5 linked regions of the Mus musculus genome follow. The protein of the gene in region 2 purifies or fractionates together with the protein of the main gene of each other region. This does not show direct contact. Links are inferred from orthologs where the notes say so. Each region holds a gene or a part of one and is shown on either strand. Other genes may lie near its edges. The genes, in order: Polr3gl, Polr3d, Polr3b, Polr2f and Polr3h.

Region 1 (3,739 bases), on a different chromosome or scaffold from region 2:
GTTTCCACGTAGAACGCGAGAGTGTTGCAGAGCACATCTAAGACTCTAGATTTAGATGTACAGGAAAGGAAGGTGACAGTTTGAGGTACCTAAAGAATCTGAAAGGAGGGCATTCGGAGAGGAGGGGCCAGTCACTTACCAGGGTTCCAATCGATGGCGTTGTCAATAGGCCCAGACATCTGATACTTGTCTGAGTAACGTTCCACATCTGGGGGGCGGGTGGGGGGGGGGTAGAGCCCGTGAGTTAGAGTTTTAACCTTAGAACATCTGTCCTAAGGGTCTGCCCCTCTTATCTATCAATCTCCTTACTCTAAGCCCAGAGCCCAGAGCTGTCAGTTGGGGTCAGCCTTGCCTCTCCTTCAGCCTGCCTTGTTGCTATTCTTATCTTTGCCCAGAATCCTCTTCTGAGAAGCAGTGAGCTTCACTGGACAGGACACCCTGGGATAAAAACCAGGGTTCAGTCTTCTGTCTCCCTCTCACTAACTGGTTAGCTTGGTAAGTCTTCTTCCAGTGTTGAGCCCTCAGCTCCCAGGGGCTCAGTAGAAAAGCATCAACTGTCAATACTTCTCACCGAGGGCAAGTAACCATTCTCCCAAGCCTGCCAGCAGCCCCGCCCGCCGTCTCCAGTCTCCTGCTCTCGCTAGGTGAAAGCTTTGCACAGGTGGGGTGCTCAGAGGCCCAGCATCAAGGTCTCTCCAGTTAATGAATTGGAAATTCATTTGTACCCCCCCTATTTGAACTAAGATGCTGATGCTTTAATGTCCCACCAGCCCCAAGATTGAGGTTCAATTAAAATCTCGAGTAAGGTGATACATTTCAGACACAGAGGGACATTTAATGCTCTTTCCATTAGACAGGAAACTTCTAAGCCTCTCTGGCCCTGAGCGTGCTAGCATGGGCACTGCCCACAGAAGGAGGCCCGAATCCTTATGCTAGCTTTCTACTGACCTCTCTTGGGGACGGCTGGCCGGATGAAGTAGGGGAGCTGCCTCATGGCCCCGCGCAGCTCTTGCTTCAGTGCCAGGACATACTCCCCCTCCTCTCCTGCCGGCAGAGGCACTGGGTGGAACTCCAAGGGCTGAGGGGTACAGTGGTTAGTCTGGAGCGCTGCAATAAAACCTTAAAAGGCCTTTCCCCCAAGTAAAATCCAGTGTTCTCAGTAAGATTGGGAAGGCCAGAAGATGGAGGAGGGCATTCTGAGAGCTGGAGAGTGGACGGTATGAAGAGTGAAGATAAACACTTCCTTGCCGGGAAAACACCGCCCGTGGGGCAGGTGCGACTATAGACGGAATCAAGGTGCAGATGGCTCGAGATGGGCCAGGAGGATTCTGTGCTCATATGGCTCAGTGGGGGCTCACATGGGAGGCTTGGGAAGGGAAGGGAGACACTCACAGGAAAGAGTGGAGAGGGCTGGAGAGTGGGTGGGGGCAAAGCATCACCCTTCCCAATGCCCACAGCCTCCATGTTGAAGGTCAACTGGCCCCGGCCACGACCCCGGCCCCCACCCCGGCTGGCCATGGTGGAGGGGGCCTGGATATGCAGAGATCCAGTGAGAAAAACCTAATAAAGACAAAAACAGAGAGATAAAGAAGTGTACTAGAAGAGATATGACGCCAAGAAGCCGCACAGCACATCATGTGATGTTCTATGGGAGGTGACGTTTTCCTCTGTGCCCCGGTTCAAACCCAGGGCTTTTCTCATGCTAGGCAAGTACTCTACTTTGGGCTACATTCCAATCCCTTTTTCTGTGACAGTTAGAAATTTGATGTGCCAGGCAGTGGAGGGACACACCTTTAGTTTCAGCACTTGAGAGGCAAAGGAAGGCATTACTTTGAGTTTGAGGCCAGCCTGGTCTACAGAATGAGTTTTGGGACAGCCAAGGTTATGCAGAGAAACCTGTCTCAAAAAAAAAAAAAAAAAAAAAAAAAAACCAAGCAAAATAAATACAAAATATAACTACTTAATTAATTAAAAAATAAATAAAACATTAAGTTAGGAGTGATACCACAAACCTGTAATCCGAGCCCTGTACTTGACGAGAGGATTATCAGTTTGAGGCTAGCCTGGTCTACATAGAGTTCCAGGCCACTGAGGGATAAATAGCAAGATCATGTCTCAAGATAAACAAAGCTGGAGAGACTGTTCAGTGGTTAAGATGTGCATTGCTTTCGAAGAGGAATGGAGTTTTGTTCCAGTACTTGTGTCTGGTGTCTCACACCGTCTGTAAACCCAGCTCCAGGGAATCTAACACCCTTATTTCGCCTCCATGGACATCTGCACTCACATGCACACACTTTTAAAATATGTTTTAAAACATGAGAGATGGCTCTGTGGTTAAAAGTATCCCATGCTCTTGCAGAGGACCTGGGTCTGGTTCCTCTGCTCACATCAGGTGGTTCCCACTGCCTGTGACTCTACTTCCCGGAGAATCCACGCCTGCCACAGCCTCCATGCACATTTACATAAGTGGTACACATACAAATAAGTAAAAGTAAATAATATTTTAAAGTACTAAAACAATTCAGCTAGAGAGATGTCTCAGTGGTGGGGTACTGCTCTTCCAGATGACACGACTCTGACTCCCATCACTCACATGGGGGGCTTACTATAACTCCAGCTCCAGGAAGGGGGGTCCGGTGCCTTTGGCCTTTATGGACACCTGAATTCATGTGTATACACAGTGATACACACAGACCCATAATTAAAACAGACATATCTGTTTATTTTTTGAGATCTTTATTTTTATTTTATGGGTATGGGTGTTTTGCAGGCAGACAGACAAAAAGATAGACAGGCAGGCAGAGTGCGCGCACACACACACACACACACACACACACACACACACACACACACACACACCATTTGAATGCAGTGCCCATGAAGACCAGAAGAGGGCACGGTTTCTCCTGAGACTGGAGTTACAGATGGTTGTTAGCAGCCGTATGTGGGTGCTGGGACCAAACCTGGGTCCCCTAGATGAGCAATCAGTGCTCTCAGTCACAGAACCATCACTTCAGCTCCCAACAAAATAAAATAAATTAATATTAGATTATAATCCCAAAGTACAAAGTAAATGCCTACGAGTCCATCATAATATGAATGACTAGGAAAAGACACATGTCTCATGCAGAATTCTAAATAAACCGTGTAGATAGCCGAAGCTAAAACATAAACAAAGCATGTAGACAGTCCATGTAACAGCAAAGGAGCATAATTCCTGATTCATAAGAGTGGGAATTTTGTTCCTCGTGTTTTTGACAAGTTGGAGTGTAGGGGTACCTTCTAAGGGACATCAGTGTAGCCAGTGACCAACATCAGCATGAATAGCAGAGACTCACAAGGACAATTGGAGTGGGTTTTCTTTGTTTGTTTGTTTTTGAGACAGGCTTTCTCTCTGTAGTCCTGGCTGTCCTGGAACTCACTCTGGACAATATGTATTCTTAATGAGCACTGACACATTTGTTTCTGCTCTTGTTTTGTTGATTCGGGGTCTCAAGTAACCCAGTAGACCTGAAACTAACTGTGCAGCAGACAACGAGCGTGACCTTTTAATCTGTCGTCTCTGGTCTGGACGTGCTGAGACTGCAGAGGCATGTGCCTCCTTCCCTCTTTCTCCCTTCCTTTCATCCTTCCTTGACAAGGTCTCATGGAGCCCAGGCTATCCTTGAACACTTATTTCTACTGTCTCAGTTTCCAAGTGCTGACCTCCATGCCTGTCCCAGATCCAAAATGATGCCTG
Region 2 (4,395 bases):
GTCTTGATTCCGTGCCTGTACTTTTGAGTGGGAAGGGGAAGGAGACACTGCTGAGGGCTTCTGGGAGAGCTAGGGAAGAAGGGAAGTCAGCTGACGCACGCATGCACGTTACCTTTGACGGCAGGCACGTCCACCTCCATATCTTCTTCCTTGGGGCCAGCCGAAAAAGGCTTAGCCTCTGGCTCTTCACTCTCCTCCTTAAAAAGCCACCCTGAATGAGCCAGAGGCAGCTGCACTGGCATGTTCCGTGTGTCATTCTTTAGCCCCGGGTCATCGATGAACTGCCAAAGAGTTGGAGGGGGGGGGGGGTCACATGAAATGTCAGCACGTGTGCTTACATCACAGCCCGTTTCGGGACTTGTGTCTCTCTCTTTTCTTTGCATATGTGTACGTCTCACACAGAGGCAAGCTCGCTCTCCACTGAGCTGCACCCCCAGCCCCTCTTTAGTGCTCCTGTAACCAAAAGCTTGAACATGTCCCTGGCCTGGCTCCCTCAAAACCCTCTTTAGCAGCTACAAAAGAACCTGTCCCCCAGGCTCCTGGCACCTACGTCATCCTTCTCCAGCATGCGCAGGATCTGCTTGGTCTCTTCGTCTGTTTCTCTCTTCTCTTTTTTGATGTTGATGATATGAGAAGGTCCCATGTCGGACATGTCCACGGTCTTATCCCAGTTCCCTGCGGGAAATCATGCTGTCCACTAGGGTTCAATAAGGAAGACTGCCCACAGCGAGGAGAGCCCAACTTGGAATGGAGACTCCCACGCTCTGCCTTCTCAGGCAGTCTGAACTGCAACCCAGACCAGGTCCCTTCCTGGTACCTTTTTTTTTCATCATTTCTGCCGGACCCTGCTCGAAGATAGAATGGGACTGGATCACTTCCGGGCGGCCACGTCCCCGTCCGTGACCCTCACGCTGGCGGTCCCTGTCCCGTTCACGCTTTTCCTTCTTCATAGTCACTTCTTCTTTTGGCCTGGGAATGAGGACAGACAAAAGGGTCTGCCTCAGGAAATGGAGCCTCCTCGCTTGCCCCTTTCAGCCCGCTGAGCAGAGCTTGTGAGCCAGTAAGTACACTACGAGAATCGGCACCCAACCCTTCGCTATACCTTTGACATCTCCCATAAAGCACGGCCTTTAATTTCCTTCTACTTTACCGTCTTGTCAAAATGTGGGCCTTTTGTTTTGTTTGTTGGTTTTTTAACCCTCTAAAAGTAGAAAGGCTGGAGAGCAGAGGACCTTAAGGCAAAGTTGGAGAGTTCAGCCCCACCTCGGCAGAAACAGAAGGTAGCTGAAACTATAAGAGATGGAGCCTACTGGGTGGTTACCCAGCTCCTAAAGGAGAATAGAAACTCAGCCCTTTCCTCTCCTTAATTTCTTTCTTCCCTTGGGTATTCCGACTGCATTCATTGCCATACCATGAACCCAAAAGCAAGAACCACCTGATTGATCGTGGACTAAAATCTCCAAAACAAAATGTCCCTCTCTGTAAGCCAATTATCTCAGCTATTTATTACAGAAAAAAAACAAAACAAAACAAAAACCAAAAAGACCCTCTAATGCAAAGTGCCCTGGAGCTAAGCGTGGAGGTGTACATCTTAATCCCAGCACTCAGGACACAGGTCTGAGAGGCAAGCACATCTCTGGGAGTTCTAGGCCAGCAACCTACATAAGTGAGTTCCAGGACATGCAAGGCCATGTAGCGAGGCACTGTCTCAAAAAGAAACATGCCCCTATATAACCCAGGATTGAAGGATGAGAACCACTGGTGAATAAGCTAATAGCGTAAGTTAAAATCTCTAGGCCACACAACCTAATTACGTCCCCAAATTCAGAGCTAACCGGGGTGAGTACTGTTCATTCATTACTTACTCTTCTTTGATCTTCCGACTGATGATATTTGGGGTGAAGGTTTTCTGAAAAGTAAAACACAGTACTGTATTTTCGATGTGCTCAACTGACCAACAGTCCTGGGATGGCTTAGAGAGACAGGTAGACTATCACCAGTAGCCCCCAAGGCAAAGCTAAAATGCTTTATCCTGTGTTTGCTATTCCTTTTCAGAGCTACTCGGTACAGTTACATCTACTGTTACACACATAACAGGAGGGGACAAAGAGCAGTTACCGGCATGCCTAAGATTCATCACTTACTAGATTATTAGTTTTCAATACTGACATCCACAGAGTTATGAACACTCGAAATTGCAAGTAAAGCAATTTTGTCTGGCTTTCAAGGGATTTTGTAAGGAGCCCAGAACATAATAAGCACTTCCGGATGTCTTGAATCAACTAGATTCACTGTCTTTTAATTGCCTAGGAGACCCTGTCAGTGTCCTGTACCAGCACCTAGGTTTGCAGGTCTCTCTAAAGGCTGACATCCCACCAGGGGCCCAAGGCAGCACATGAATGAACATCACGAGTCGCCTCCCTACGGCCTGGGTGGGTTTCTATACAAACGCGCTCGCAGGTACCTTCTTGACTCCGCCAAGGGTGAGGTCCCGGGAGCGGATGGAGGGAAGGCGACCGGGCGTAAGCGGGGGTGCGGGCCGCCGGCCGATCAGCCCCCGGCCCCCAGAGAGAAGGGGTCGCGGCCCTCCAGGATTGCTGGGCTCGCCCGCCGCGTTTCCTTCCGACATGGTTCCTAGAAGAAAGTAGGCAACAAAGTGACTCCAAGGGCTGGACGCGAGGACCCTGGGCGGAACCGCACCCACGTGGCCTCCCGCCCCCCGCCCGTGCGTCGCTCTCGCTGCAGCTCAGCTCCTCCCCGTCCCACGTGGCGAGGCTTCCCGGAGCGCCCCACCCCTAGCTTTGGACTCCGTCACCTGCCCTTTCCCTGGGGACTTCGTGACGCACCTGCGTGGAGGCTCTGCGCCGAGTATCACAACCTCACCTCCGACTAGAGCAACCACGGGCCGCGGGTCTCCGGGCAAGGCGGAAGTCTGCGTGGCAAGGACCGGGCGCTGCCATCTTACCCTGGGGCGGAAGTGACATCAAGGGGGCGTGACCTGACCATAGTATTTATCCGACGGTGCCTCGCCGCCCTCCGCCTTCTCTTCCCGGTTCTTCCCGGAGTCGGGAAAAGCTGGGTTGAGAGGGCGAAAAAGGATGTGGGAGGTGGACTGTAAGCTGTGCCGGGGTGTGACTCGTGGGGGCGTGTCTCGGCCCCTGGCAGGGAGTAGAGGTGCGGTCCTCGGGGTCGGAGGTGGAGGGGCTCCAAGGTCGCCTACCTGCTGTATGTGGAGTCCACACTGCGCAGCCTCTGGGAGCAGTGGGGTCGCCGCTCGGGATGGGGCTCCGGACATAGGGAGCTTAGAGCCCTCAGGCCGTGGCTGGCTGCAGCCTCCCTGCGTTGACCTTGGCGTGGTCATTGCACCTTCGGGCTCGACCCTTTGCTCGCGTGCGCCTTCCCTTGCCGGTCCCTGGGGTCTTGGGGTGTCACCCTTAACGCAGTTTGGACAGAGCAGCCAATAGCTCTTCTCATCTACCTGGGCCCATGACTGCTTAGTCAAATCTGGGAAGCCTTTGGAACTGAAGTTTGCTCTTCAACTGGAAGGGTTTTTGTTTTTTGATTTTTGGTTGGGAGGTGTGGGTATTTTTAAGACAACCCTGCTCTGTAACCCTATCTAGTCTGGAACTTAAGTAGACCAGGCTGGCCTCGAATTTGCAGCAGTCCAGTCTCTTCACTCATCCCTCAGTTGTAGGGATTACAGATGTACACCACCAATCCCAGCTGAAAAATTTTTTTATTGTAATGTGTGGTTGCAATCTAATCTGGGGGGGGGGGAGTCATTTAATGTTACACTACAGCGACCCCAATACAAATAAAAAGGTTATGTAATTCTAGGGAAGGAACCTATTTCTGCTGGAATTCCATAGGCTGCTAGCATTAAAATATTTTTGATGTACTGTAATATTGTGCCACACAATAGTGTATTCTTTGTCGGAGACAAATGACCAATGGGAGGATATATATGTGCATATTTATATGTATATATCGTAACTTGTTTCCTTAATGGGGCACTTACTTTAAATAGGTATGTTGTTAGAAATAGCTAGTGTACATTTGATACATCCAACTTTTTTGCTTTCTTGTAGATTATATCCCTAGGAAAGAGTTTCAGAAAATGTACATATTAAAAGTATACTTTGCTGGGCAGTGGTGGCACACGCCTTTAATCCCAGCACTTGGGAGGCAGAGGCAGGTGGATTTCTGAGTTTGAGGCCAGCCTGGTCTACAGAATGAGTTCCAGGACAGCCAGGGCTACACAGAGAAACCCTGTCTCGAAAAACCAAAATAAATAAATAAAATGAAAATAGTAAATAAGTAAACTTCATTTTGATGTCATACATATGCAGTTATTTAAAAAAAAAAAAGGGGGGGGGGGAAATTATGTGACAAGCC
Region 3 (3,834 bases), on a different chromosome or scaffold from region 2:
AACAGAGCAAGTACACTAAGCAATGGTGGGAAAGAGGTGGGAAGTAAGCATTGGCCAGACTTGGTAAAAACAACAACAACAACAACAAAAACCATGTTGATGACTTTAGATTTTCTCCTATGTCTCAGTCAGTGTTCTGTCTGAGACACCCTGATCAAGGCAACTCTTAAAATAGAAAGCTTTTAATTAGGGCTGGCTTACAATTTCAGAGGTTAGTCCATTGTCTTTGTATCAGGAATGGTATGCATGGGGCTGAAAAAGTAGTTGAAAGCTTTGTATCCTGATCTGTATGCAGGCAGAGGGAGGGAGAGACAGAGACAGACTGGGCCTGGCATGGGCTTTTGCAACGTCAAAACCCATCCACAGTGACACATTTCCTCCAACAAGGCCACACTTCCAAACCCTTCCAATCCTTTCAGAGAGTTCTACTCCCCGGTAACTAAGCATTCAAATTCATGAGCTTCTGGGTCCACTCTTACTCAAACCAGCACACCCTAAGTGCAATGGGCAATATATTCCTAAACTTAAGCTATTTCCTGGAATGGTGATAATGTTTAGAATTCCACTACCAACTCTTAGGCTTTTTCTCTATTGCCATCCTTGCAGTCCTTCACCAACCTTGTGTCATTTGTGCATTTTCTCACCTCACGGAGACAGTGCTTTATGTAGCCCAGGCTAGATTGGAATTGCTATAGCTGAGGCTGATTCTGAAGTGATTGTGCTTCTGCCTCTTAATTGCTAGGGTTATAGGCCTGGGCCACCACAGCTGGCTAAAACGTTGAACAGTTGTGAGAACAAACCAATAGAGAAGGTTTCTGAGTACACAGCCAAGAGTTGGGGGGATTAAGCAAGGGAAGGTCTGACTTTCTACAGGAGAATAAAAAGTCTGTGTCTGTGGCCGGCAGTGAGTTCTCCACAAAGACTGTATACTCACCCCTCTTGTCTGTGAGATAAGAGGAATTTCACTGTGCACGGAGGGGAAATTTTGAAATATGGGAGCAAGAAATTGAAAAGCTAGATTAGTATGTCAGATGGCTGTAACAAAGTACTACAGCTTGATAGTGTAAGAAAACCAGATGTTTCATTCCCCACATTTCTGAAGACTGGAAATCCAAGACAAAGCTTACAGAAGAGCCTGAGAAAGATTCCAGTGCGTGCCTCCTCCCTAGAGTCTGCTGGCTTTTGACAGTCTCTGATGTATCATTGGCTTACAGAAACATCACACTGACATTTGTCTTCATCTTCACCTGACAGTGTCCCTGAATGTATCTGTCCAGATCCCCTTTTGTTATATGGGCACCAGCCATATTGAGTTAGAGCTTACCTACTGAAATCTTCTACAGTCCTTTAGGCCAGGCCACCTGGAAGCCAGTGTAGGAATTTAATTCAGCTTTTAATTTTGGTCTTCCTCCTCTTTTTCTGCTTAACATGAACATAGTATTGCACAGATACTGAGTATTGCTTGCCTTGGCTTTGATAGTTGCAGATAACCAAACAACTATTACCCAATATATGCTCTAGAACACTTCCACCACCCCAAAAAGTTCTCTTATAGCCTTTCCAGCTTCTTCCTATCCGCCCCCCCCCCCAAAACACTCTTGTTTTCTATTATCAGAGACTGGCTTGCCTGTTTTCTAGGCCTCCCCACATCCTCATTTCTAGATGTTAGAAATATTCTCTCTCTCTCTCTCTCTCTCTCTCTCTCTCTCTCTCTCTCTCTCTCTCTCTCTCAGATTTCACTATGTAACAATGGGTGTCATGGAACTCACCCTGTAGACCAGGCTGGCCTTGAACTCCCAAGTGCTGGGGATTAAAGGTGTGTGCCATTACGTTCAGCTTTTCTCATTTTGTGCAACTCATTTTCCCTTGCTCCTGGGCCATCTCCCTGTCCCTTAGCTTTCATAACTTCTCCATAATTTATACCCCAGGCCACTGTGTTTCTAAGTTCTAGACATCTACTGCCCATCAGACATTTCTACCTGAATGTCTAATTAGTATCTCAGACTAAACATGCACCAACCAAATTCCTAACACCTCAACCCCTGAAAGCCTGCTGCTCCTACATGGCCCCATCCTCTCATTTCTGTCAGTGTTGGCTCTGTGCCTCTGCCGTCTTAGACCAGACACTCTGATGTCAATTTTAACTTCACTTTTCTCTAGGGAACCATCCAGTCTGTTGTCATTTTACAAGCTTTGCTCCAGCTTGTGTCTGCTAGCTACACAACTTCTCACTTCCTACCTGTACTGTTACTAGTGTGGGCTACTTCGATTGACTAAGTGATTGTCCTGTTTCCAGCCTTGCCCATTTCCACCCAGCATCCAGAGCGATCCAGTTAATAGGCATGGAGCTATTATGCCATCCTCCACTCAGAGCTTCCCAGTGCCACTCAGGTCTCTTAAGTTAAAGCCAGTTTTTGTTTTGTTTTGTTTTGTTTAGCTTATTTATTTTATGTATGAGTACTCTGTCTGCATATACACCTGCATGCCAGAAGAAGACATCAGAAGTTGGTTGTGAGCCACCATGTGATCGTTGGGAATTGAACTCAGGTCCTCTGGAAGAACATCTTAACCCCTCCTAGCCACTGTGCCATCTTTCTAGTCCCTAAAGCCATTTTTTAAATGTTTGCCACAAAGCCGTGAGTTGTCCATAGATCTTTCCTTAGGAACTGAGTATTCTGACTTTACACTCCGCTGTACCCAGCTGTCAGGACTCCCTTAGCAGATGGGGTAAGTGAAAAGAGGCTGTCTCTGTATGTAGTAGTCTACAAGACACCCAAAACTCAAGAGGCATGGGAGTTAGCAGTCTATTAGTGGAGGAGCAAACACCCATGTGTGCTGACCCCCAGAAGCCTTGAGGTAGTTTGAGGCTCTGGTTTAGAAAGAGCTCTGATTGTTCCCACCAGACTCAAGACTAACTTCTCTTTTCAAATTTTGAGCCTCACTTAGGATGTGCCATAAGAATAAATTTGAAACTGGTTTGAAATCTTGTCATCCAGAAGAGGTTTTATTATATTTAGGGAAACCTGTGATATATGTGTGTCTGTGCATGTGCACCATATAAACATGGTGTTTGCAGTAGCAATTATAACATTTTCCCTGTTTGTTTTCTGCACACTGTGATAAACGTGGTACCCCACAGCAATTGTGTTTTGTGGTTACTGACAGAGGTTCTCATGGTCTTATTGTTTCCTTATCTTCACAGGAAAAATGGAGGCTGCTTCCAGCATTTTTAAAGGTAATTGTATGCTATTTAATAATAATTGGTTATTTTTCATGAGATAAGTCACTAGATTATCCTTTAAATTTTTTTCTTAACTAAGTACATCTATTAATCTTGCCCTTGCTTGTATTTGAGAAACACTAATGGTTACCTGCCCCAGAGTGACTCATGCACCCTGTTTCTTTGTTACCATCTTTTGTTTTTTCTCTGCTTAGGTTAAAGGCCTGGTGAAACAGCACATAGACTCCTTTAACTATTTCATTAATGTAGAGGTAAGCATCCAGGATTAAGGCCAGATGTAAATTGAGGGCCAAGTGGAAGCAAGAGCTCTGTTCCTAATTCTGCACTTTCTACTGCAGATAAAGAAGATAATGAAAGCCAATGAAAAGGTTACAAGTGATGCTGACCCCATGTGGTACTTAAAGTAAGAAACCAACTGCTCTTAAATAATATTCCCATTGTTTTTAAATACCGAAGTAAATGTACTTGCTGTCAAATCTCTTGTAATACCACTACTGTATCTGTCTAGTAAACTAATTGTAAAGTGCTTATATTTAACTTTTACTTGTAAATCATTTGTAAGAGTTTTAATTGAGAAGTTACTAAAACTGGTT
Region 4 (4,439 bases), on a different chromosome or scaffold from region 2:
GCCTCTCATAAGGACATAAGGAGAGAAATATAAACGTGCCAGGGTGGTAGCACACTCCTGTACTCCTAGCATTTGGAAATGGGAAGTGAGAGAACTAGGAGTTTGAGCCCAGCCTGGGCTACATAGTGAGATTTTGTCTCAAGAACAAAAACAAGTGAAGTGTACTTCAGGGCTGGAGCTGTAACTCAAAAGTAGGGTGTGTAGACAGCATGCATGAAGCCGCTGGCACTCACAGCACCAGCACACTACCAGCATCACCTCCCCCTCTTAAAAACAAACAAACAACACACCATTATTCTTTCCCCTCCTGCTACAGCTTAATTCCATATTCCCTTATGGTGGAGAAAACAAACAAACAAACAAACAAACAAAACTACATAAGACCAAGGTGACATTGCCATTTTCATAGCCTAAGGTCACCAGGCTTCTAAAAACATGCTTATTTATTGCTAACGTGCACATGATGCGTGCTCGCGTACAGGCCCACATACACCACCAAGACTCCCTTTTCTGTTCTCTCCTTCTACCAGGGGCTCTAGGGATCAAACCTAGGTTGTTAGGCTCGGGCAGCAAAACTTTCACCTTTAGCCCCTCCTCCATCTCATCAGCCTCCCGTGGTGCACAATGTCTGAGGGAGCTGCCCAAACTCGCTGTCTCCAATTCTTCACTTCCCGAGTCAGAGCCTCACCTCAGTAAGGCTTTCGCCACACCCTCAAGCTCCACAGCCATCCTTCCTGTGCTCACTGATCATCGCACCCCACAACCTCCCCATTGAAAAGTGTCTCTTTGGGCTGGTGAGATGGCTCAGTGGGTAAGGGCACCCGACTGCTCTTCCGAAGGTCTGAAGTTCAAATCCCAGCAACCACATGGTGGCTCACAACCACCCGTAATGAGATCTGGTGCCCTCTTCTGGTGTATCTGAAGACAACTACAGTGTACTTACATATAGTAAATAAATAAATCTTTAAAAAAAAAAGGGGCTGGTGAGATGGCTCAGTGGGTAAGAGCACCCGACTGTTCTTCCAAAGGTCCAGAGTTCAAATCCCAGCAACCACATGGTGGCTCACAACCATCTGTAACGAAATCTGACGCCCTCTTCTGGTGTGTCTGAAGACAGCTACAGTGTACTTACATGTAATAAATAAATAAATCTTTAAAAAAAAAAAAAAAAAAAAAAAGAAAAGTGTCTCTTTGTGCTGCCTGGCTGTCCTGGAACTCACTCTGCAGACAAGGCTGGCCTGGAACTCACTCTGCAGACAAGGCTGGCCTGGAACTGAGAGATTCCCCCCCCCCCCCCCAAGTCTCTGCCCTGAGTGCTGGAATCAAAGGCTTGCACCACCCCCAGCTTCACTAAGGATCTTTACAATGCTGAACCCTTCCCCTGGACAGCCAGCATACCTGGCTCCTCCCTCCTGCCTCCCACTCTGGGGGAGGGGATGCTTTTCTGGGTTCTCTTCCCCCCAAGTCACTCACTCACCATCTCTTCTCTGGTGGCAATCACTGCCCTGGTCAACGCCGTCATCTCTGCTTTCATTGCATTTTTGACTGTATTTTGTATGCTTGTTTTGAAGTCAATCTTACTGCACAGTATGTAACTCAGGCTGGCCTGAGACTCACTATGTTGACATCTAGTTCAGGACAATTCCCCTGCAGTAGCCTCCCAAGTGCTAGGATTACAGGTGTGAACCACCACGCCCAGACTCTGAATTCTGACTGATCTATCAGGACTACCATAGTTCATCTTCTCTCTTGATTAACATATACAGCGTATCAAGAAATCCTTTAGGTTCTATCTTTAAAATATATCAGGATCCAGGCATGGTGGCGCACGCCTGTAATCCAGTGCTCAGGAGGTGAAAGCAGGCAGATCTCTGTAAGTTTGAGGACAGCCAAATCTACACAGTGACTTCCAGACACAGCTAGGACTATGTTGAAAGACTCTGTCTCAGGAAAAAAAAAAAAAAAAAAGAACAAAAATCACCTGGAAAGCAGAGGTAGATGAATCTCTATGTTCGAACCACCTGATATAAGGTTATATTTGGTCTCCAAATAAATAAAATAAAAATATGTCCAGCCGGGTGGTGGTGGCGCACGCCTTTAATCCCAGCACTTGGGGAGGCAGAGGTGGGTGAATTCCTGAGTTCAGCCTGATCTACAAAAGTGAGTTCCAGGACAGCCTGGGCTATACAGAGAAACCCTGTCTCGGAAAAAAAAAAAAAAAATGTCCATAATCCAGCTGGGTCTGGTGGTTCATGCCAGATATATCAACACTTGGGAAGCTGAAGCAGAGGACTGTGTCGAATTCAAAGCCAGCCTTAGCTATATAGTGAATTCCCGGGCAGCCTGGGTTTCAGAGTGAGGCCTTGCCTCAAACAACACTAAACTTCATGCTCTCTAGAGTCTATCCCCACTTCTGCCACCTCTGCTACTATCACACCTAGCCCAAGCCCGCGTCTGCTCCCAGCCTTCCAGGCCATTCTCTGGGTTGCTTTTTCCTTCCTACTTCCACGACTACACAAGCTACACACCTCTGGCATTCCCTTCCAGAAAGAGAGCGCTCAGAGGACAGGGGCCACACGGACTGAACTCTCTGACCACTGTCCCCATTGCTCCGCGAGGTAGGAAGTTCTGAAGACTTCGCCCCACCAACCCAGCAGCTGGGCTAGCCTGTGCTCCAAGAGCCCTGCTCGCACCACGACCTCCCTCCTTCCGTGGCCCGTGCTCACTTGTCCTCGTTGTCTGACATGATGCCTTCTCCGCCCGGGGCGCAGAGCAGAGAACGCGCGCCTTTGCCCCTCGCCGCACCACGCGTAGTTTGCGCTTGCGCCGTGACCCAGGCGCAGTTACTTCCGGGAAGCAGCGGCCGACCAGACGCTAATGCGCGTGCGTGGAGGCGTGTCGCTAGTTACCATGGTAACAAGGAGCGATTAGTGAGGACGCTGACACTCTAGCTCCTTGGAGTTTCTCCGTGCGGAGGGCTCTGTCACGCCCAGGTCATCGCCTAAGGTGAGCGCTCCTCCCCGGACCGTCACGATAGGGACTGTGGTCACTGCGCTGTCCGGAGCCGAGGGGTCGGGCACCAGCTTCTCAGACTCCCAGGTTGCTCGTGATGAGAGGTCCGGATTGCGAAGCGTAACTAGGGCGAGTCATTGCTTCTCTCCCTCCTAGGGCCCTCCCATGGCTTCCCAGGAAAGGGTGGACTCGGTGACCAAAGGAACCGGGTTCCGCCGCTGCCGTAAGCAAGCAGGTTACACGCCGGGGACTTGTGAGCTGCTCAGAGGTCAGTGCATTAGGGGATCAACGACCCGAGCGGTGCGGTTTTTCCTTAAGAGCTTGGGATTCTGAAAGGTTCGGGGAAGAATCAAAGACCAGAGATGGAGAATTTTGGAATGGTTAGTTCATCTTTTACATGCACTTTCAATGAAGCCTATCTCCTCACTGCAGTGGGACCTTCACAGTACCAAATTCAATTCCCTTCACCAGGCTTAGACATTATACAGTCTTAGAGGTGTTTAGTGTCACCTTCTAAATGGTGAACACCACCAGGCAAAGAAACGTGCCTGTTTCTGCTCACAACTGTAGCTCCAGCCTCTGCTACATGAATGAGCATGTATGCACTTAATTATTCAACGACAAAAACCTAATGTGTGATTTGGATATTGTCCTAGGTACTAGGAATAGAGTGTTGAGAGGATTGCAAAGGACAACTCTTGCTCTCAGAAAACTGATAACACAGGAGGGTAACAAGAAAAATGAACAGGAGAAAATTATAGAGCTGAAGGTGTTGCTCAGTGACAGAGTATATTCTAGGCAGATGTGGAGTCTGGGTTTCAGCCCCAGCACACCATACACAAAAAAGTCTGTGTGTGTTACAGTTGGAGAGCTGGCTCAGTGGTTAGGAACATGTACTGCCCTTTGAAAGCTCATTCCCCAGCACCCATGTTAGCCAGTCACCAAAAAAGTGTGTGTGTCTTAGGCATATGTAATGGGAGGATTGCCTGAGCCCAAGAAAAGCTAGCCTAGATAATATAGTAAGAACCTATCCTTGAAATAAAATAAGGACTGGAAAGATGGCTCAGAGATTAAGAGCACTGGCTATTCTCAAGGACCCAAGTTCAATCCCCCACAACCATATCAGGTGGGTCAAAGCAATGTGTAACTCTAGCTTCCTATGAGTCAGTGCCTTTCCCTGCCCTCCACAGGCAGCCATACACGCATAGCTACACACTCACGCACGCGCGCGCGCACACACACACACACACACACACACACACACGACCTTTTATTTTTTAAGATTTGTTTGTTTATTTATTATGGATAGTGTTCGGCCTGCATGTATGCCTGCAGGCCAGAAGAGGGCACCAGATCCCATTACAGATGGTTGTGAGCTTCCACGTGGTTGTTGGGAATTGAACTCAGGACCTCTGGAAGAGCATCAT
Region 5 (4,405 bases), on a different chromosome or scaffold from region 2:
TCCCAAAGTCTGTGCCCCAGATCACAGCCAGGAAGTGTTGAGAACTCCATCACTCTCACACCGCCTCAGACACACAGACAGGGATATGTGGCCAAAGCACTTCCGCAGACCAGAAGCCCACACAGCTTGGTGTTAACACACCCTGGTGTTCTAAATGACTTGGCTCAGTGTCTACATGTCTACCACCAATATTACCCCTAGCCACAGCCCTCACAAGAGCTGCTCAGGGACTAGAGCACTTCAGAGCTGGGGCAGAGCTCCCAGCAGTCGTCATCTGTGGAGGTTTCTCTCTCAGGATCCAGTGAACTGACCTCACCCGGGCATGGTGATCTCTGCCTGTAATCCCTGCAGCTGAGAGGGGGAGGCAGGGGTATCCGAAGTCCAAAGCCATCTTTGGTTACACAGTGGATGTAAAGTGAATTCAAGTCCCATGAGATGTGGGGAGATGGTATTGGCAAAATGGTTCAGCAGTCAAGGTAGATCCCAGGACCCCTTTCTCCTTATGAGCTGTGCCGTGGCCTATTCATGTGTGCTGTGGTATATACACCCACATTCAAAATAAATCCATGTAATGAAAGAAAGAAAAAAAGAAAGACAAGACAGACAGACAGACACAGACAGACAGACCTGGATGTCATGGCTGACTAAGTGTGACCTCCACAGGCCCATAAATGTGAATGCTTAAGTCATCGGAGAGGGACACAACTTGAGAAAGATTAGAAAGAAGGTATGGCCTTCTTGTGTCAGTGGGAGTGGGCTTTAAGGTTTCACAGACCCACAGCAGGCGAGCGTTACTCCCTTGGCAGTGGAGGACATAGCTCTCAGATCCTACTCCAACACCACGTGTGCCAGCACGCTTCCACCACAATGCTGAAGGACAACCTCCGCAACAGTAAGCCCCCAGTAAAATGCTTTCTCTTGTCACCTTGCTCATGGTATTTCCTCACAGCACTAGTGCAGCAACTAAGACTGGGTGTGACACGCACCTTCAATCCTAGCACCTGGGTGGCAGAGGCAGATGGTTCTCTGGGATTGGAAGGGCAACGTAGACTATAGCAAGTTCCAGGCCAGCCAAGGCTACATAGTGAGATTGTCTCAAAAAAAATTAAAGGATTGTCAGTGAGCTCTCTCCTCCTCCATGTGACAAGCCTCAGATCTGTGTGTGTACCTTCTCCTAGGGCCTCAGTCTCCTATAAGGGACTACCTGTCTCCTGTAAAAGCCAAACTCGCTCTTTCTTTCTGGCTCTCTGAAGATCACATCCTACCGACCCGTAAAGAACAGCTTGGACTATAAGGCCCTCCAGGGCTCTGTGGTCTGGCTTCCGTCTACATTTCCGTTCCAGCTACACCAGCATTCTGTGCCTCTCCTGCCTCAGGACCTTTGCACATGCTAAATGCACTGCCTCCACAGCTCTACACCCAACCTACTCCAACCATCGAAACAGAGTCTCTCTACTTTGCTACATCCATTCCAGTAGTGACCCGCTTGACAGGCCCAAAAGCCTGGACACAGTCCCAAAGTGAAAAGTTCACAGAAAGGCCTGTCCGAGGCATTACTTGGTGTCTTCCCACCATCAGCTCTCAGAGCAATGGCTGTTTCCTCAGAAGTCACCCATCTCTTTCATCCCGGGTGACACTCCCCTGTTCCCCACTCTGTGAATGCCTGTCCTTCATGGCATTTACCCCAGCTCATTACAACAAGACATTCTCAAGCCAACTTCTTCTCACTAGGCTACAAGGGCAGAGCCTGTGTCTCCCATTGGAGAGAGTGAAAGTCCGAGAAGGCCCCTGTAGTCATAGAAAGGGAAACACAGTAACCAAATGAATACAAGAAAGGGGCTACTGAGCTGGCTCAGCCGGTACAGCTGCCTCCCTCTAAAGCTGAAAGCTGAGTTCAATTCTAGAGACCCGCACGCTTATCCTCTCACCTCTACTCTCACACTGTGGGCAACACAGATAACACAAACCGAGGCCCAGAGAGGGTGACTTGGCCAAGACAACACAGTAATTGAACGAGGAAACAGGCATATTCCAGTTTCTGTTTTACAAACCCATTTTGTACACACGCTCTCTCCGTTTTGTTTTCTGGCAATCCTGAGAACCGAACCAGTGACTCCGCGAATGTCAAGCAAATTCAAGCACTGTTCAGCATCCTGATGCTTTTTGTTTCTTTTGAGGCAGGGTTTCTCCGTTGTAGCCTTGGCTGTTCTAGCACTCCCTCTGTAGACCAGGCTGGCCTCGAATTCACAGAAATCCGCCTGCTTCTGCCTCCTGAGTTATGGGATTAAAGGCATGCGCTACCGCCAGCAGCTTCGGTGCTTTTAATTTGTCTGAGTCAAGGGCTAACTATATTGCCCACGCTGGCCTCGAACACAGGATCGTCAAAAAGCCTCAATAGCCAAGAAGCTCGGATTACGGGTGTGCACTACCTCGCCCGGCCCATTTACTCCCTTGTGTACACGTTGTCACCCAAGTCTGGTTTATAAGGATGCGAAGGAAAAAAACCCCGACATGAAGTTAAGTGTGCAAGGCCAAGGGTGAACCAGGCGATAGCCAGACTAGCAGTGGGACCGGTAGGGACACTGCCGGGCAGCCCGAGGGCCCAGTACCTTGTTGGCCAATTTCTTGTTCAGCTCCTCAGCAATGGAATCGTTGAGTTTCCGCTCAAACTGCCACGGGGGTATGCGCACGGTGTCCACCATCTCCACCAGCACGAACATCCTGCGCTAGGGCTCTGGAGACCGGAGAGGCTGCCAAGCACGGGGGCCTGCGAGCTGTGATGGGGTGGGGGGGACCCGAGCCTCCTCCGTCCCTTCTCAGCCTCTGACAAGCCAAACCTGCAGCCGAGCTGCGCGGGAGGGCCTGGGCTCCAATTCTGGAAGCTACGCTCGTCTCCCGGAGGAAACTGAGGCCCGCTCCCGCCAGCCTTGGAGGAGCGCCGGCTCCCCGTCCCCGGATGCCACCCTGGCCTCGTTCCGTCCGCACCACGCGCGGGAGCCACGCGCGTCCAGCAACGCTGCGCTTGCCAAACCAAATCAACTCAGCTTCCGGAAAACTGACCAATAAGAAGCATCTGCCCGCCCCTGCGGGTCGCAGAGCTTCGCGAGGCTCCCGTGAGGGGCGGGGCCGGAAGGTGGGCGGGGCCGCCAGCACTCTCCCGCAAGTGAGAGAAGAGGGGCGGGGTAGAGTGCCGAAAGGGCGGGGCCCCATCCTGAAGCAAGCCAACCCCGGGCCCCTGAGAGAGTCTGGTTGCTAGGCGACAAGTCTGCACTTCAAGCCTGATTGTCTTTCTTTTGCACAACAGCCAGATAGACCCTTTGAAAATACAAATTTAACACGTTCAAAATAGTCTTTACTCCAGACAAAGTACCCAAGAGAGTGGGCAGAAAAGGGTCGCCGGGCCTTCCTGGATGATGTCATTTTAAGTGGTGCATTTGATGGATATGCTCACCAAAGCTCAGCACACAAAGCTTAAACAGCTGAAACAGACTCACGCTTGTAATACCAGCGCAAGAGAGGGTGAGGCTGGACAATCACTGCAAGTTCAAGACCAGCCTGAGTTACCAAATGAGATCCTGTGGCCGGGCAGTGCTGGCGCACGCCTTTAATCCCAGCATTTGGGAGGCAGAGGCAGGCGAATTTCTGAATTCGAGGCCAGCTTGGTCTACAGAGTGAGTTCCAGGACAGCCAGGGCTACACAGAAAAACTCTGTCTCGAAAAACCAAAAAGAAACAAAAAACAAAAAACACAGATCAGCTACATAGTGAATTCAAGTCTAGCCTGAGGTACAAAAGACTTTTTGTTTGTTTGAGACTCTTTCTAAAAAGAAAAAGGGGGGTGCCTAACAATGATGGTGACACACGTCTTTAATCCTAGCACTTGGGAGGCAGAGGCAAACGGATCTCAGAGTTTGAGGCCAGCCCAGTCTACAGAGCAAGTTTCTGGACAACCAGGACTGAACAGAATAATCCTGTCTCAAAAAAACAAAATAGAAAAATTTTCTTGCTGCACACTTTTAATCCCAGCAGTTGGGAGGGGCAGAGACTGTCAAATTTCTGAGAGTTAAGACAAACCTGGTCTACCAAGAGAGTACAAGATAGTCAAGGCTATACAGAACACACTCCCTCCCCCACCCAAAAAAAAAATGAGGAGAAAAAAAATAAGGCATTTTGGGCTGGGCGTTGATGGCACACACCTTTCATCCAAACAATTAGAATGCAGAGGCAGGAGGATCTCTCTGAATTCGAATTTGAGGCCAGCCTGGTCTACAAAGCAAGCTGCAGGACAGACAGGGCTACACAGAGAAACCCAGTCTCATAACACATGTAAGACAACAGTGTGCCTTTCTAGAAACAAAGTATTTCAGGGAATTGACAGGAGAGGTAAGAATTGATTAGCAATGATC

What was found.
Region 1: the proteins of Polr3d (region 2) and Polr3gl purify together in Homo sapiens (co-immunoprecipitation; 4 studies listed by BioGRID and IntAct, counting the BioPlex papers as one, with this or other methods). This does not show direct contact. The link is inferred for Mus musculus from reciprocal best matches to the Homo sapiens genes POLR3D and POLR3GL.
Region 3: the proteins of Polr3d (region 2) and Polr3b purify together in Homo sapiens (affinity purification with mass spectrometry; 8 studies listed by BioGRID and IntAct, counting the BioPlex papers as one, with this or other methods). This does not show direct contact. The link is inferred for Mus musculus from reciprocal best matches to the Homo sapiens genes POLR3D and POLR3B.
Region 4: the proteins of Polr3d (region 2) and Polr2f purify together in Homo sapiens (affinity purification with mass spectrometry; 5 studies listed by BioGRID and IntAct, with this or other methods). This does not show direct contact. The link is inferred for Mus musculus from reciprocal best matches to the Homo sapiens genes POLR3D and POLR2F.
Region 5: the proteins of Polr3d (region 2) and Polr3h purify together in Homo sapiens (affinity purification with mass spectrometry; 6 studies listed by BioGRID and IntAct, counting the BioPlex papers as one, with this or other methods). This does not show direct contact. The link is inferred for Mus musculus from reciprocal best matches to the Homo sapiens genes POLR3D and POLR3H.

The regions. Positions count from the first base shown.
Region 1 is NC_000069.6:96,580,696-96,584,434, forward strand, and holds part of Polr3gl (DNA-directed RNA polymerase III subunit RPC7-like), read right to left. Parts: intron 1,876-3,739; exon of another isoform or gene 1,561-1,875; 5' UTR 1,519-1,560; coding exon 1,393-1,518; intron 1,079-1,392; coding exon 949-1,078; intron 209-948; coding exon 140-208; intron 1-139. UniProt on the Homo sapiens protein: DNA-dependent RNA polymerase catalyzes the transcription of DNA into RNA using the four ribonucleoside triphosphates as substrates. Specific peripheric component of RNA polymerase III which synthesizes small RNAs, such as 5S rRNA and tRNAs.
Region 2 is NC_000080.6:70,440,487-70,444,881, forward strand, and holds the start of Polr3d (DNA-directed RNA polymerase III subunit RPC4), read right to left. Parts: upstream 2,986-4,395; 5' UTR 2,847-2,985; intron 2,742-2,846; exon of another isoform or gene 2,635-2,741; 5' UTR 2,630-2,634; coding exon 2,465-2,629; intron 1,910-2,464; coding exon 1,866-1,909; intron 970-1,865; coding exon 818-969; intron 678-817; exon of another isoform or gene 676-677; coding exon 551-675; intron 282-550; coding exon 113-281; intron 1-112. UniProt on the Homo sapiens protein: DNA-dependent RNA polymerase catalyzes the transcription of DNA into RNA using the four ribonucleoside triphosphates as substrates.
Region 3 is NC_000076.6:84,625,048-84,628,881, forward strand, and holds part of Polr3b (DNA-directed RNA polymerase III subunit RPC2), read left to right. Parts: intron 1-3,202; coding exon 3,203-3,235; intron 3,236-3,435; coding exon 3,436-3,492; intron 3,493-3,579; coding exon 3,580-3,644; intron 3,645-3,834. UniProt on the Homo sapiens protein: Catalytic core component of RNA polymerase III (Pol III), a DNA-dependent RNA polymerase which synthesizes small non-coding RNAs using the four ribonucleoside triphosphates as substrates.
Region 4 is NC_000081.6:79,139,722-79,144,160, reverse strand, and holds the start of Polr2f (DNA-directed RNA polymerases I, II, and III subunit RPABC2), read right to left. Parts: upstream 2,837-4,439; 5' UTR 2,747-2,836; coding exon 2,727-2,746; intron 1-2,726. Other genes in the region: 1700088E04Rik (UPF0193 protein EVG1 homolog), read left to right, coding at 3,178-3,280. UniProt on the Homo sapiens protein: DNA-dependent RNA polymerase catalyzes the transcription of DNA into RNA using the four ribonucleoside triphosphates as substrates.
Region 5 is NC_000081.6:81,923,177-81,927,581, forward strand, and holds the start of Polr3h (DNA-directed RNA polymerase III subunit RPC8), read right to left. Parts: upstream 3,038-4,405; 5' UTR 2,721-3,037; coding exon 2,610-2,720; intron 1-2,609.